3 linked regions of the Oryzias latipes genome follow. The protein of the gene in region 2 binds, or shares a complex with, the protein of the main gene of each other region. Links are inferred from orthologs where the notes say so. Each region holds a gene or a part of one and is shown on either strand. Other genes may lie near its edges. The genes, in order: aryl hydrocarbon receptor nuclear translocator-like protein 1, circadian locomoter output cycles protein kaput and CLOCK-interacting pacemaker.

Region 1 (5,227 bases), on a different chromosome or scaffold from region 2:
CTCCATAAAGGACCACTGAGGCCCCCACAGTGTCATAGATAGAAAGGCCTGAGCAGCTGTCTGCACACACCAAACGATCTCAGTCTCTCAGCAGATGAAGCATCCTTGTTGTTGGACCAGTCCAGTCTGTTATTGAGGTGAACATCCAGATATTTAAATGTGTCCACGACCTCAATGTCTGAACCCTGGATGGTCACCGGTGACTGTGATGGTGAGGACCTCCTGAAGTCCAGGACCAGCTCCTTTGTCTTGCTGGTGTTAAGCAGCAGGTGGTTAACTTCACACCAGCTAACAAAGTCAGAGATGGCCCCCCCCCTGAAACACAGCCCCCAATAGCACCGTTATCTGAAAACTTCTGCAGGTGTCAGAGGTGGGAGTTGTAGGTGAAGTCCTATGTGTACAGAGTGAACAGGAGAGAGGACAGCACAGTCCCTTGAGGTTGAGTCCCTCGCCTGTGGGCGGCCGTGGTGCAGTGGTAGGGCGGTCGACTCATGATCGTAAGATTGCAGGTTCGATTCCCGCCTTGCACGCCCATGTGCCGAAGCGTCCTTGGGCAAGACACTGAACCCCACCTTGCCTCTGGTGGGAGGTTGGCGCCAGTGTTTGGCAGCGGAGCCGCCATCAGTGTGTGAATGTGTGTGTGCATGGGTGAATGGGACTGTGACATTAAAGCGCTTTGGGCCTTCGTAAGAAGGTAGAAAGCGCTATATAAGTATACGCCATTTACCATTTACCATTTGCCCCACAAACTCCTATTCAAGGAGGCTAGGATTCCCCGATCAAAGCAAGGAGCCAGACCCAGGAGATCCCACTGCAGCGACCCTGTTCACCGAGAAGATCCAATCCCCGATGTGGAGGATCCGTCTGAGGAAAACACTGGAGCTAAAACTAAATGTAAAAGGAATCAAATACATAAAAGTGAAAAAGGTTGTCAATCAAATGAATAAACAGTCAATCGTTGACAATGCATTAAAAAGATAAATTCAAAGAAGTAAAAACAGAAGTGACATTAAAAAAATTCAATATCTAAAAAGATCCTACATTTCAGCCAAATTAAAAAAGGGAGGTGTTGAGCCTTCCTTTAAAAACATGAACAGTGTCCGTGACCCTGAGGTTCTCTGGGAGGATGTTCCACAGAAAAGATCCATAAAAACGGAACGAGGCCTCGCCGTGGGTTTTAGTTCTGGCTTTTGGAAGAACTGAGAGGCTAGTATCAGAGGACCTCAAGGTCTGCAGGGGCTCTTCTGTAAAATCAAATCAGAAAGATAGGATGGCCAACACCAAAAAAACATTTAGAAACCTATAAAAGAACTTTTGTTCTTTTGAGCCAACAATGTGTTGTTTTAAACTTCCAGCTGCTACTTTTACAGCTTTTTGAAGCAAAAAAGCAAATAGGTAGTTTTAAACAATACTAACATGTTTTATTGCATCAAAGTCAGAAACATCTTATATTTAAAATGCATATTCATTGGGTTAGTATTTATTTTCAAACTGACCATTTAAACAATAAACATTAATTCACTTTTCCTTCTTTGAAGGGATCAATTACCGTATGACAAGCATAAGTTTAGTAATACAAGTCTTTTTTTATTGTTAATCTAGAAATGGCATCATTACTATTTATGGCCAGAAGAGGGAGTGAAAGTATAAAGTCAACTTGTCTAAATCTGTAAATCTAAACTAGGTTTTTTTCTTTGAAGGCTCCTCAAATATTTTTCCGGCAACTATTTCTAATTTAAAAAAATGCTTGAACTCAAGTAATGATGACTTTAATGGAAATCATTTTTTTAGATGAACACAATCAATAAAAACAGATACTGACTTAAAATGTTTTGTTACTTTACTCCTTGAATTATGTTCAGTTTTTATCTTCTGTCCACCTGATGTATCCGTAATTCTGTTAAATTAGTTGACATTTCATGTGTGATTTTTTTATCTTTCTTTGTTTTATTTTATTTTTTTTGGCTCGGGACCAGTAAGTGTTACGAGCGTACTTGCTCTCGGCTTGGTTCAGTCTTTTCCTTTTCACACACACAGACGCACACATAACTGGCCCCTGCATTCCTAGGCTAATTCTCCTCTCATTGGTCAATCAGCACGTCAATCATGGTTCTCCAGACTAAGCTTGCGTTTGATTGGTCGGAGGAATACCCAGTGCCAATGAGCAAACGCTATTGGCTGAAAAACTAGGTTAGTGGTCCGACAGGCATGACGGTGAAAAGAAAGTGGGTCACCGATTGAAAATCGTTTATGTCACAGTTCTTCTGTGTGTCTCTACTGCTTTCTCACCGGCGGCTGTCCATGGATCCACGGGTCACTCCGGGCGGTCTGTAAGTACTAATTGAGGGCGAGCGAACGCTTTGTCTTTTTGTGTGACTCGGCTGGGTTTAAATCACGGTGGAGATCTTCGATGTTTTCCCGGCGCTGTGCAGTCATGTCAGCGGGAGCTCGGCGGCCAAGTCTCGGAGTTAGCGTTCCGTAGTTAGCAGCTGTGTGCTAATATTAGCTCGCTAAGATGACTTTGTGTTCTGGATTACGGGAGCAGAAGCCGCCGGGCTTTTGGTGCGGGCTCGTTCTTTGCCAGCTATTGTCGGGCTACGAAGAGGCTCCGGGACGGGGAAGCACCGGCCCGTGAGCTGGATAACGCTGCCCAGGCGTGACCGAGCGGCGGACGGTCAACCGCGGCCACCGCGCTAGCAGGCTAACGATGTAAAAAAAAAAAAAAGGCCGGGACTGGGGCTCGGCGCACGGTTTCTTCGACAGCATCCAACCTGCTGCTGCAATTTCCTAGAACCACATCTGTCCGCAGAGAACCGAACGGAACCGAGCGGACCCGCTTGTTGTCGCAACCCCACGCCACGCGCGTGCGTCTTCTGAAGTGTTCGTGCTGGAATTCATTGGCAGAGAGTGATGGATGTCGCTGTGGCTCCGGAGCAGCCGGGGTTCCCCGGTCTGAGCCCCGCCACAGGGTTTGACTGCGGAGGGACCCCGCTGGTCTCCCACCCCAACTCACTGGGGACTCGGCGGTCTGTGGTTCGATTCCTTCCTCATCATCGTGCTGCAACCATCAAGCTTGTATTCTTACGGTTCAATCAGAGCTGAGTAGACGGGATCCATATATTGAAATGTTTGTTTTTTTCAGTTGACGTCTTTTGACTGTCCGTCTCGAGTCAGGCTCGTGCCTCCCTTTCCTGCTGCTCAGCCGGCATCAGTCTCGGCGGGTCTACCGTTCGGTACCGGGCTCGTCGTGGTTCTGACTGGACCTCAGACGTGACGCTGCAGCTGCTTTGGTGCTGATCTTCACGATAGCATCTAGAAAGCAGCAGCAGCAGCTTGTGATGACTCAGCAAAAGCTGCTCTCTCTCTTGTCTGAGCCGCTGTTTACACCAAACTGCACATGAAAATTAAACCAAGGAGAAGTTCTGAAGTGTTTCTGTCATCAGACATTCTTCTGGAGAATCATGTGGTTTTGTTGGTCTGCAGGAATATTCATTTGAAGGGTATTATTCCTCAAGTCTTTTAATTTCACTCAACATTTTTAATGTAAACAATGTAAACTGTGGGATTTGGATCAAAAACGTCCAAATAACCTCCGCTGCCACACGAGGCTCTTTTAGCCATGGATAAAGGGCTAAAGTCAGTCTGGATAAAGAAACAATAAAGTAGTACAGTAGGGCTAAAAAGTAGACTAACTCAAACTTTATTCAACTCATTCACAGATGTGGAAATACAGAACAGACTGAAACATTTTGACAGGTTTATGCTCCACAGAAACTCAAGTAAAGATGGGTGATCACAACCGGAGTTGAGGTGTAGTGGTTCCTAAGTCAGATTTTCTTTTTCTTTCTTTTAACAACTTCAAGGATTTTAAGTGCACCGGATAGTTAAAAATACATTAAGGATTTCTTAATTGGCTCTGATTTAATTTTGATTAGTTAGTTTTTCACATTTCTGGCTGTACCACAAACATTAAAATCAACAGTGTTTTTTAAAATCCTCTTGACATTATACTACAATTACACTAAATCTGCTGCATTGAGATGATTTAATGACACGGGGTGTTTTTTATTTTGAAAGGAAGTCATTTTAAACTCTGTCAAAAGTGATACACCACTTCATATTTAGAAAATATGAAATCCTAGCTTTAAGTTTTATTTATGCAACAGTCGATCTATATATATCATAATAACAACAAGAACCTAAATATAAATGTTTTATTTTCTTAAAGGGTGAAGTCAGACTTTGTGGCGTTTATTGGGTTGTGGTCAGCAACAAATGGACCTGAATGGCTCTTAAGTGTTGAAGCTTGTAGAGGGGCGGCCGTGTTGCAGTGATAGGGCGGTCGTCCCATGATCGTAAGGTTGCAGGTTCGATTCCCGCCTTGCACGCCCATGTGTCGAAGTGTCCTTGGGCAAGACACTAAACCACACCTTGCCTCTGGTGGGAGGCGGGCGCCAGTGTGTGAATGTGTGTGTGACTGGGTGAATGGGTCTGTGACTGTAAAGCACTTTGTCATTGTAGGAAGAAAGGCACTATATAAGTATACGCCATTTACCATTTACCCCTGACTTTGCATGTTCTGACTCTGTGACAAAGACTTTTGTGAAAGATGACTAAGGTATTTAAAAAAAATGCATTAGTCTTGTTTTTGTTCAAGATGTGCCATACATTTTAGAACAATGCACCTATGCATTTTTATTTAAAAGGCTATGGTGTTAAGCTGGAGAGGCACTAAAGTGAGTCAGCTGAAATTCTAGCAGATTGGATTTGAAAAGGCAAACTTTGGAGGGTTTCATAAAGAAAATGTAGGGTAATAATAAGGCGTTAATGACGTAACAGTTGGCTTCGGACAGAGCAAATGTCCACCAATATCACGCTGGTCATCATAACACTGACTTAATGAAAAGTAATTAGTTTGTCCTGCTAGTCTAGAAAATGACTGAATAAAATAAAGACTTTCTGTGGGAAACCACACATGTTCACATAAAGCAGGAAAAAGTGACTCAGCATTAAACATAGAATCACTTTTAGATCATTTCCAGGAATTGAGTGACATATGTGATCTTTGGAGATGCAGTAGGTAGCTGCTTTTTTTTTATATATATATAATTTATGCTTAATTAAAGAAATGTCCAGCAATTCTTTTGCATTGTTTAAATAAGATTTTGAAACTTTTTCTTCTCCTTTTTTGCTGTGATCTGTCGTTTTTACAAGTTTAACACCAAAA
Region 2 (5,202 bases):
GGTAGGCATTTGGAAGAGCACCTGGAGTAAAAAACAAAACAAAACGACGAGTATTATTTTCACAGTAGGTATACACTGCCTTGAAATATTGTTTCTTGCTAATCTAAAATTTTGGAATTTTTTTAAAATAATTTTTCAAATAAAATAAATAATTTTTGTCAAAATCTATAGGATTTGAATTGCATACATTTGTAACTATGGTGTGTTGACAAAAACTTAAGCAGGGCCAAATTATATTTAGAAATGCCCATTTTGACAAAAATGAAAATACCTCATAAATGTCAAAGAAACACTTATTTTTTTCTTAGTACCTCATTTAAAAAGGCTAATTTAAAAAAATATATATTATGATTTCTTCACTAAAATCCAACAGAATGAAAGCTAATGTAACTGTATGGCACAACTCAGTTCAGTATGCATGTGTCATCATTTCTCACCCTGCGTCAGCCTTTTCACAAGCTCAACTTCTTTTCTGAGGGGTGGATGAAAGGGATCGAGGTCAAGGCCGACTCAATGGTGATCTTTAGTGTTGAGGTCATTGGCTCATGAATGGAAAACCGACCACAAGAAAGTTAGGGTGGTCAATCAAAACTGCAGAAGAAACGATAATAGAATAGAAGAAAATAGGTCAAAACAGACGCGTGGAACTAAAAACTGTCTAATGTATTTAGTCTCTACTGAAATGTGGCTTTCTAGAGAGGATCCTTTTTTTCACAACACCCAGTTTCATGACTCAGATTTAGCCCAAATGCTAGCTCACCATGTTGGGTAGGCTTTACAAACAAGATATCCTAAATCATTGAATTTAAGCTTTCAAATTACACATTTCTGTCAGGTTGATTATTCAAGTGATGCCTTTTTTATTTTCTGTCTTTACAAACCTTGCATTCATTTTCTTCAATCTGCCTGACTGGCACTTACTGTTTCTGATTCTTTAAGATTCTTTCAGCTGGCAAAGAGCTGGTCTGGTGCAAACTTACAGCACTGGTAGGCTGTTTTGACCATTACTGGCATGAACTAGTTGCATCTGTGTTTGTAGTTCAGTGCAATTTCAGCATTTGTTGAAACTGGAGACGTAGAGCTATTTTGCTCATTTGTCCAGCCAGACAAATCTAGGCCTAACACTATAGGGACCCCTCCACATCCTTGTACTTTTTTTTTTTTTTAAACCTACCCTCTGGAATGTCCAACGGAGGGGAAACTTGCTGATAGCCTTCCAGGAAAGAGAAATCCACGCATTTAACCTGCAACACAACACAAACGGTCTAATTTATTACCAACATGACCCGAGAATTCAATCAATGTTTAACACCCATCTTTAGACTAGCTTAAGTTAAGGAGAATAAAAATATATGAAATGTATGCAAGTGAATTCACTGGAAGCCACAGAAATTTTAGGAATATTTATGGTGTCAAGTCTCATTGGCACATTTCCAACAAGTTTGTGCTGCCAAAATAATAGACTACAACTCCACGACCTTTCGTTTTTACCTTTAGCTCTGCTAGTTTTAAGGTTACTGTTATTGCAAACATTTCAGTTCATCAAGCTCTATCACTGATAATGAGTCGATCTTTTTTAAGTGGTAAAAATCCTAATTGCATGAAAAAAAAATATCTGGCTTAAACTGACACAATAAGCTCTCCTTCTGAAATCTGTTTGCCATGCCAGTTTCATGTACAAGCCATACCGGTTATTAGGCCAATTGGAGACTAGAATCTGAACAGACACACTAATACTTTAAAAATGAACAGGAAACATTTGTGCGTGCAACAGAAAACGACTTAATCGCCGCAAAAGAGATTTTGACCCAAGTTCGCCTAATTTTAGAGAGCAGGGATCTTCAAAAACCATTCACAGTACGTGTGGGCAAATTTATTTGACCTACAAGTACCAACAAGTTGCTTGATGAATGACTAGAAAAGGTCATGATCCGAAGCAAACTGGTCAAAACAACCATCTATACATATCCAGATGGTGTTGCTGAGGTTTTGACCTAGCTAATAACGACCTATAAAGCTTCTCAGACATGACAGCCTTGCATTCTATTCACAATAAACGATAAAATGTCAAAACAAACATGAAAATGTGCATGTCTTTAAAAAAAAAAAAAACTACTTTCTATTTAGCAGTTTATACATAATCAAGCTTAAAATAGCTTTTTTTAAATCCAAAAACTCAGTCATATTTCATAAAAATGAAGAAAACTGTTAAACTTAGACACCACAAATAAGAAATGTTGGTATATAATAAATAAGTTGAAATAGAACGTATTTTTGAATAATGAATTCGTCCCACCAGCTACCAGAAAATAGATTTTCTTTGGATGATACAGTGACTCAATGAGATGACTCAAAAATACGAGTGGGCAGGAAGGTCAAAAGTGGCTACATTAAAAAGCGAGCAGAAAAGGTCATCAACAAGCCAGATTCTACTTTAATTTGCTTTTTTTTTTTTTTTTAAATGTATTTTGGGCTTTGATTCGAGATCCACAGCCACATTAGCAGTGAAGAGCCTCAGCTAAGCTTCTTCGTTTACGAATTAAACGGTGACATGTAGCTTGACGTGTTGTTGTTGTTGTCAGTTGTTGAGGCGGAAGGATATTTAAAAGAAAAACTAGAGGAGAGCCATATTCAACGTACCTTTTAATGCCACAGGTGTCGTTATACAATCGGAGGAGCAACCCATGTAGCTAGCTAGCAAGCTAACTAAGCTAGAGCCAAAAAGTGACCGTTTGACTGAGATGTTTAATTCTCCCAATGTCCTTGTCGTAGCCTGCTAACAGCCGAAAACACTAAAGGAGAGGTGAAGGCTTTACGACACGCGAAATAAAGTAAAAATTAAACAGAGCTCAGTTTTTTTCCCTTTAAGTTAAGCTGACGCCGCGCCTGGAGCTGTCACGCAACAACAACTGACATTGAAGACAAAATAATAATCTCCAAAAACACAGCTTTTGCTCCACTGAGTGAGTGAAAGACACAAACTTAGCTTCAATACCAACAGCGCTGCTAGTTATCAAGGAAACCGGCAAAAACCCAAATACGACCGCGTGACAAACGCTCCAAACCACCGAAGGTGGAAATATTTTCGCGGCAGATGTATTTACACACATACTCAGCCGCCATGCCCGCGCATAGACACTCACCGATGAGAAAACGTGCACGCGCTCGCCCACTGATACTGGCTGCTCAAATGTGGGTCACTGGGCCTTGCTCTCTCTCGAGCGTGCGGAAACAGTCCCGCAGTCCCAACGCTTCCGCACACAAAATATATCTATCTTCTTAACAGCCGCACAATGAGCCGCCAACATAATAAATGCATCAAAATCTTTTACCTTCACGAAAACTCGACTATAGCCTCCGTGCCTTTCTTACTTGAGCGTTGAATCGAAGTGGTGGGGCCAGGAGGACTTGGGGTTGGAGAGAAAAACAGGAGCGAGGAGGCCTACTTCATATTACGACGTACAGTCATGCGCAATAGAGACAGTAGGGCGCACTATTTTGCACGTTCCTAAGCAGCAGCTGATCTTCGAAGGGGATATGATTCCGCCTTTCGATTAATTTCACCCCATGCCATTAGAGATGTATGACCCTCATTAGAAATCAAGAGCTAGACTGACTCTGTGCATCTTGGCTTTTTCCTTTTTTTCCCTTTCTTTCTCTTTTCCCCCCCGTATAGAATTAGAGGCGGGGACTGTCCAGGATGTACATTTTCCCGGTAATCTGGAATCTGTACATTATGTCCCACTAAGTCAGGGCCCTTTCACCACTAATGGGCTCTCTACACTTTTATGCAGCATGTTGTGCTTGTGTTTTTATAGAATTAGTTTACAGCCACTGAAATACATAAACAGTTTTAAGGTATGTCATATTTCTAAGATAAAAACAAAAACAAAATACAAATAAAAAACACAATTACAAAAAATGAAAACATATATATGAGATTAGTTTAATAATAGAAAGTTTAGGTTGACGTATGAATAAGTCTTTACAACAAGATGGAAAGTTGAATGCATCAATTTTAAAATGATAAATATAGGAAAATAAATCATAATGATTACTTTTAAAGATGATTTTGCTATTAATTTAAAAAGGGAGAGGAAAGTTAAAAATTACAAGAGAAACGGTTATGAGATTAAAAACCCACTTTGATTTTGAACATGCTCTTGTGGCATTTTTCTGATGATGGTGGGCATAAAGTAACTTAAGCTAAAAATTGGATTTCTGAATTGTCTTTATTCAAATTGTTGGGAATCAGGAGCAGACGCAAAAATGCAGTAGGAACAAGCTTGTAGGTGGGACATAGAGCCTACAATGGCAAGCTGCATGCTCTAGATGACTAGACTCATGTATTTTTCACTTGTCCTAGCTGGCATTTGGCTCAAAACTGAACGACTGGATAGCTCCAATATTTGTCGCCATTTTTGTTGTGCCGGTAATGTTAGGATGGGGTTGTGAGCTAGCAAGAGTGTTGGATGACGGGAAATGGGGAAGGGCTTACTCCGAGGGCAAACACTCTCGTCGTTAACTCGGAGGCAAACTTTTAACAACTACTGCTGCTCTGAAGAAAATATGTCCTAGAACATAACGCATATTTTTTTGTTTGGGCTAAAAACGTCATAATTAAAATATCACAATGAAAACGATTAAAAAAAATGAAAAGATAATCTAAGAGTGTCCTGAAAAAAAACATTATTGAGATCAATAACAAACATGTTAAATAAAAAGTCAAAGTAACTGTTTCAGAAGCTGAAAGTATGAGACAAGACAGTCACAAGCATGAAATAAAAGGCTTTGCACATGCAATACAATGAGGTTGACTCCATGTTCAGAAAGCAGAATTACAGATTTATTTGAGATTTTTTTAATTTTACGAATCTGTTTAAAACATTTTGTGGAAATGTTTAATCCAGAATTGGACGTGTTCTAAAAGCATTACTAGACATCATTTTTACAGGACTGTATTCAGGTAATTATTACATTGATTGTAACTGAATCCCTCAGAGTTTAATTCTCAGTTCAAAACCGGTACATGTCTACCAAACATCCATGTTTTGATCATAAATTATAAAGATTTGCAAACTTACAATGCACCAAAAATGTTTTGCCAAGAGGCTACAGCATAGATCTTACCTTTTTACCAAAGAGTTGTTCATGGGTATCCCATCATTTAGACTTTTATCTCACAAGTTCAACTTTTTTTTA
Region 3 (5,408 bases), on a different chromosome or scaffold from region 2:
CGCTATGAAATGGGTGGCCAGATTTGGCTCTTTTTAATTTTTTTCGCCACTTCGGGGCCCTGGTGGTGGCGGGGGCCCTACGGGGCTGCGTATTTCGCGTATAGGGAGGGCCGGCCATGCTGCAACGGCCTCTCCTCGAACAGAAGTGGTGAAACGCTGCAAATGCACCTTTAAATCACAGACAGAGCCGTCAGGATTCAACCCACGGGAATAATAACATTGACCTGAGCCACTGGCATAAACAAATGAGAGAAAATACCAAGAAAATTCACACAAAATGAGGGGAGATCATTGCAAAACAGCAGATCAGATTCTTATGTCAACTATTACATCTTTTTTATATTATTTCTTTGCTGTTATTATGTCTAAATCCTCTGAGAGGCGCACTTGCATCTGAAATATCTATCAAAGAAAATTCAGTTGGACACACACTGTGTGTTTTTCCTGTTCTCCCACATTAATGGGATTATTACAGAAAATATCAAAGACAGAAGAAAACAACCATATGTGTAACAGAGATGCTCACATTTGAATCCCTGGCCCTCGATTTCAGTCTTTATCTCCTCTTTCCAGGTCAGTTTTCACCTGCAAGGATGTGGGAGTCAGTTTGTTTCTCAGCCACCAGGGGGAGCTATGTGACTGACAGATGAAAGCCAAAAAGTTCCTTTCTGTTCAGGTTTTGATGCCAAAATACAAGCATTTTGAACAGAAACTTCTCGTATTTTTTAAATTTAATTCATCTCAATGTCTTCTGCAAGGTAAAATCCTCCATAAATAAATAAAGATTCAAAACATTTCCGATTCTGCTGCTGACAAACTCAACAAAACATCCCTCTGCAGGATTTTCTTGCTCAAAAGTTAAACAAAAATTAGTAAGTAGTGATAAATAACTACTTAAAATAAGATCAAATTCTCACACAAAGTTAGGTCACATCTGGAGTATTTTCTAACCCATTTCTGTCACTTCTTTTCTTTCAGCAGGTCAGTGAGAAGCAGAAGAGCCGCCTTCAATCTGCCAAGGACAGAAGAGAATAATCAAAGATTTGTTTCATCCTTTACATCTGCAGACCTGCAGTTTAGGACATGTATGATGGGGGCGCTTCTGCAGCTCAGAAATATGAGGCCTCTGACAGTTTACCCAAGGTCTGACGGCCCAAACGTTTAGTCTAAAAAGGACTTCAGAGGAGACAAGGAGATAAGGAATTCTCTAGAAAGTCTTTGCTCTTAAAGTCCACCCACTTAAAGTTACAAACTTCATGAGAGACTTTTGTGTTTTAACCCATTTTTACTGAGATTACATCTGATAATTCTGATTTTTTTTTTAAATGTTGAACACAAAAATAACCAATAGAATGACATTAGAACCCACAAAGTAAGACATTCTAATGTATTTTTGTGTTGTACTGCAATCTTAAATCGATGACTTTATTAAATAAATCAAAGGTTTCCCGTTTTCCTGATTTGTTTTGTGTATTTTATTATTTTTTTATTCGATGTTTGATGTCCTCGCCACACATGGCAGTGGTCACGTTTTCCTGCTGCTTGCGCTGCTGACCAATCAGAAGTCTGGACAACAACAAATGGGCGGACGGTACCGCCTTAAAAATGTGACGTAGCTCGCATTCGCGATGAAGTCACGCCCACACACACCATATTTGGCAGACCGACTTTAACAGATATAATATTTTTAGGTTAGTTTTTTAATTTTTAATTTTTATCGATAAAGATACATATTTATGTAGTGTATGTTTTGTTTTAGTTGAGTTTTAGGGCAAACAATAAAAATAATGGGGACGGTTTTCGCCACGGTGCTCTGCACGTGAATGACCCCGCGAGCAGGGGAGGGGCGGGCTGTCTCGTGTCCGCCACCGTGGGACACTGCGCTTCTGTCTACGGTACTGGGCGGTGCATTAGCCGAGGGAGAGGAGACATCGACGGAAAACCGAAGGCAGGCTCCGGATTCTCCGCTTTTGAAACGAAACGTAGGAACAAAACCTAAAAAAAAGAAGTAAGCTCTTTTTTCTTTTGTCGTTTACTTTATTCCCTCAGATAATTTTGTCCTACTTTATCGCTCGTTAGCTTATTCTTATTGCTAGCTTGTTTCTACTTAGCATAATTCACCCTTATGTATAAACGTTGTTATTCTAATTACTGATAAAACAGTAAAAGAAAATGTTTCGATTTTAGATTCTTTTATCTCTTTGTATTTAAGTATCTGAGCCCCGTAAAACCTACATTTTGCGTCGTAAACTTTGTGCTCGGTACCCGTTAAGCTAATGTTGCTAATGTTCTCCTTGATCTGTTTGTGTTTTAGCTGTCTGTTTATAAAGTAAACGGATTAAAGGAAAATATAGATCAGAGTTTGTAGTTCTATTACCCAAAATTAATATTCGCGATTTCCAAATTAAACATTTTATGCTAATCACCTAAAAACGCACGAGCTAATGCTAAACTTGTTTGTCTAAGTAGGTCACCTCTTGTTTTTCTGATTTTTACAGAGATGAGCACCAAGAGGAAGGCCGCCGGTCACCCGAGGACAGGAGACCGAGTCCACATCATGAAGTCCAGAACCTCTCGGCCGGATTCCGAGAGAGACTCCGGGTTCTCCGGTACCGACTACTTCTTGGCGATTGACGTGTGTGATGCGTCCTTCCAGCTGACTCTCACTTCCGTCTGTCTGTCTCACAGATGCCAGTTCAGAGCAGACGAGCTCCATGGACACCACCGACTCCGAGGATTCCCCTCATCCAGCGGTCAGACAAGGTCACCGGAGTGCCGGGTCAGTGTCCTCTGGGTTGGCTGTGGTGGGGGGGTCCTACTCCAGCCTTTCTCCAATGATCATCATGAACAACGTCCTTCTCAAGCAGGTAACGGACTTTAGCACCAAAAACTTTTTTGAAATATAGGTTTAGTAGTCACTTTTTGGGGTTTGACACTCATGATCACTTTTGTTTTTACTGATCAGCTGGCCATTGTTTTGATTTTATTTCTCTAATACAGCTGAAGTTAGTCCCACGTGGCATGACTAAAGCATTTTGAAATGAAACAAATGGTTTTAAAGAATAAATTTAATTTAGAGCTGAAACAAATGAATGAAAACTTTGTTTTATTTTACGTGTTTTACATTCTGACATGCTTTCAGTTGGTTGTAAATCTTTTCCTTTTTCTTTCATTTCACACTTACTGTGGTTGTAAATGAGCAGGGATGCAAAAAAACTGAGCTTTCATCTCGATGCTTGTCTGCAGTTTAAAAAAAGACCAACTTTGATGAAAATTGTGTTTTCAACATTTTTTTTCTGATGATGGAGGACATATATTAAGGAAAAAAAGGAAAATTCATGAATATTTATTTAGTTAAAATGAAAGGATCACTTTAAAATAGATTAAAAGATGGACAGACTAGGACTGGAAATGCATCCACAACCATTTCAACCGTTTAAACCCAAACTACATCTGATGTTTTTACCCAGATGACGGTTATCAGCGTCACTGAAATGTGAAATGACATGTTTCCTGCACCGGTCAGAGCACAGACTTTGTGATCAGTCACTCCTGTTAGGACTTTCCTTAGACACCCGCAGTTAGACTAATGACTGTTTCTGAAGGTCTCGTTTTTGTCTCCTCAGCCTGCGGATAATCCTCCAGCTATGAAGCCTTGGGGCGTAAATCCCACAGTAAAGGTGGTGCAGCCGGTGGTGCAGCAGCCTCCGTTCGTGTTCATCCAGCCTGTGGTCTCTGGCCAAACCTCCTCCGCTTCCAAAGAGTGCACTTCAAGACGCAAACGCTCCAAGAAGTACCTCCCCATTCTGAAATCCTACCCCAAGATCGCCCCATATCCACGTGACTCCAGTGGTTCTTCCGGGAGAGGAGCTGCTTCCTCTTCCTCGGGGTCAGGGAGGAGCAGTAGCTCCTTGAACTCCAACCAGTGGGAGGCCGGTCAGAGAGAGAAGACTCTGTGTGGCAGCATCTCTGACTCGACCACGCCCGGTCGTCCTGCTACGCCCGGTACCACGTCTCCTCTGCACCAGAGCAGGCCGTCCTTCCAAACCACAGAAACCAGCAGCAGTCCGAGAAGGGAGAAGCCTTCATCAGCTGTCATATCGACTGATGTTCTGACCCCCACCACTGGCTCCAAAGACCCCGCCCTTTCCCGTCTACGTCCGAGCTCCGGGGAAAACAACGACTCCGATCAATGCAGCCTAAGTGACTGTGATTCAGACGCAAAGAGGAAGCGCTTCTGCAACACCTACAACATCCTGAGCAAGTCCGGCCTGCTGGACATCACTCTGCGCACCAAGGAGCTCCTCCGGCAGAACCGGCACACCCAAAGCGACCTGGACCGCCTTAGGGAGCAGACGGACCTCTTCCTCCGCGCTTTGCAGAGCGGCGACGCCAGCTTGCGTCTTCAGCTGCAGGCCAGCCTCCAGGAGGAGGAGCGGGAGAAGGCCGTTCATATGGGCTAAAGAGCTGATCAGAGCTGTGACGGTGTGGCAGGAATCCCTCACACTTAGAGGGAAAGGACCACCGGGGCAGGACCGGGGTGTGTGCACAGACAGATGGGCTGGAAGTAATTAGCCCCGCAGCACGCTCCCGCCCCCGCTGGCAGTGAGGAGTGACCTACATTCAGCTGCTGGTGGCCCTGACACCCAAGGCTTCTCACAGAGGCATCGAACTGCAGACCGTCTGAGACATTTTGACGATTTTTGCCTACAACAAACTCGAGAGGCTCCAGAAAGCAGCTGGATGTACATTTACAGGAAACGTTGGGATTGACTGGAACCTCTGGAAAGAAGAGGAATCCTGCAGGAGTGGAGATCTCTGACCAAACACAGGAGGTTGTTTTCTTTCCACCATAAATGCCTGTTCTGCCCCCCCATCTATGCCAGGAGACCAGACCCGTTACAGGATCTTCCTGCTGCGCTGCTGTTTCTGTCCTCCTGTGCAGCAAAGCACCGCAATAATTTAAAAATTGTAAATCCTTTGGTCATGCGGCTGAAGCGGTTCTCAAGGACCTGAACCGCATCACAGGTCTTCCATTCCTGTTCCTGCTCAATAAGTACAAGTCCTGAGACCTTTTTCATGCTGAATGCAAGTTGTGAAGAAGCAGAAAAGGGTTTTGTTATTAAAACATTGTCTGATTTTATGTGTATTCTAGTTTCCAGTCAGATTTTTTATATGAAATCATTCCAAAAAGCCAATTTCTGAAGGATGTGTCCACAGACGGACGAACATGGATTCAGCAGCAGCTGATGCTTCCTTTGGCTTAGCAATAGTTCATATCATAAAAAAAGGGTTTTATTTTTTTTACTGCTCTTTTAATGTAGACGTTTTTAAAGCCTAACATTTCTGTCATTCATTTTTTTCTTTACACGCGGTAAATGTTTGTGTTGGTTTTTTTTTACGTCACG

What was found.
Region 1: the proteins of circadian locomoter output cycles protein kaput (region 2) and aryl hydrocarbon receptor nuclear translocator-like protein 1 are in contact, whole or in part, in a crystal structure (PDB 4F3L), measured with the Mus musculus proteins. The link is inferred for Oryzias latipes from reciprocal best matches to the Homo sapiens genes CLOCK and BMAL1. Residues at the interface, in NP_001276755.1 of Mus musculus: Arg46, Gln49, Phe50, Leu53, Ile54, Glu56, Leu57, Met60, Leu61, Pro62, Lys70, Ser71, Leu74, Gln75, Ser77, Ile78, Phe80, Leu81, Arg82, His84, Lys85, Thr88, Glu95, Ile96, Gln98, Asp99, Trp100, Pro102, Phe104, Leu105; in XP_030097882.1 of Mus musculus: Lys70, Met71, Phe74, Ile75, Glu77, Leu78, Ser80, Leu81, Val82, Asp93, Leu95, Leu98, Arg99, Ala101, Val102, His104, Met105, Lys106, Leu108, Arg109, Gly110, Ala118, Tyr120, Lys121, Pro122, Phe124, Leu125, Asp127, Asp128, Glu129.
Region 3: the proteins of circadian locomoter output cycles protein kaput (region 2) and CLOCK-interacting pacemaker are in contact, whole or in part, in a crystal structure (PDB 5VJI), measured with the Mus musculus proteins. The link is inferred for Oryzias latipes from reciprocal best matches to the Homo sapiens genes CLOCK and CIPC. Residues at the interface, in NP_001276755.1 of Mus musculus: Gln519, Leu526, Lys527, Leu530, Arg533, Ile537, Asn540, Ile541, Arg543, Gln544, Glu547, Leu548, Ile551, Gln554, Leu555, Val558; in XP_006515773.1 of Mus musculus: Asn401, Thr402, Val405, Leu406, Ser409, Leu411, Ile414, Thr415, Thr418, Leu421, Ile422, Asn425, Thr428, Gln429, Leu432, Leu435, Lys436, Thr439, Gln440, Phe442, Ile443, Thr446.

Annotation. Positions count from the first base shown.
Region 1 is NC_019864.2:422,521-427,747, reverse strand, and holds the start of aryl hydrocarbon receptor nuclear translocator-like protein 1, read left to right. Parts: upstream 1-1,842; 5' UTR 1,843-2,330; intron 2,331-5,227. UniProt on the Homo sapiens protein: Transcriptional activator which forms a core component of the circadian clock.
Region 2 is NC_019859.2:11,192,070-11,197,271, forward strand, and holds the start of circadian locomoter output cycles protein kaput, read right to left. Parts: upstream 3,625-5,202; 5' UTR 3,373-3,624; exon of another isoform or gene 3,333-3,372; intron 3,272-3,332; exon of another isoform or gene 3,144-3,271; intron 3,117-3,143; exon of another isoform or gene 2,641-3,116; intron 1,245-2,640; 5' UTR 1,175-1,244; intron 592-1,174; 5' UTR 438-591; intron 22-437; 5' UTR 1-21. UniProt on the Homo sapiens protein: Transcriptional activator which forms a core component of the circadian clock.
Region 3 is NC_019882.2:1,941,046-1,946,453, forward strand, and holds the start of CLOCK-interacting pacemaker, read left to right. Parts: upstream 1-1,854; 5' UTR 1,855-2,008; intron 2,009-2,498; 5' UTR 2,499-2,500; coding exon 2,501-2,609; intron 2,610-2,688; coding exon 2,689-2,867; intron 2,868-3,626; coding exon 3,627-4,463; 3' UTR 4,464-5,408.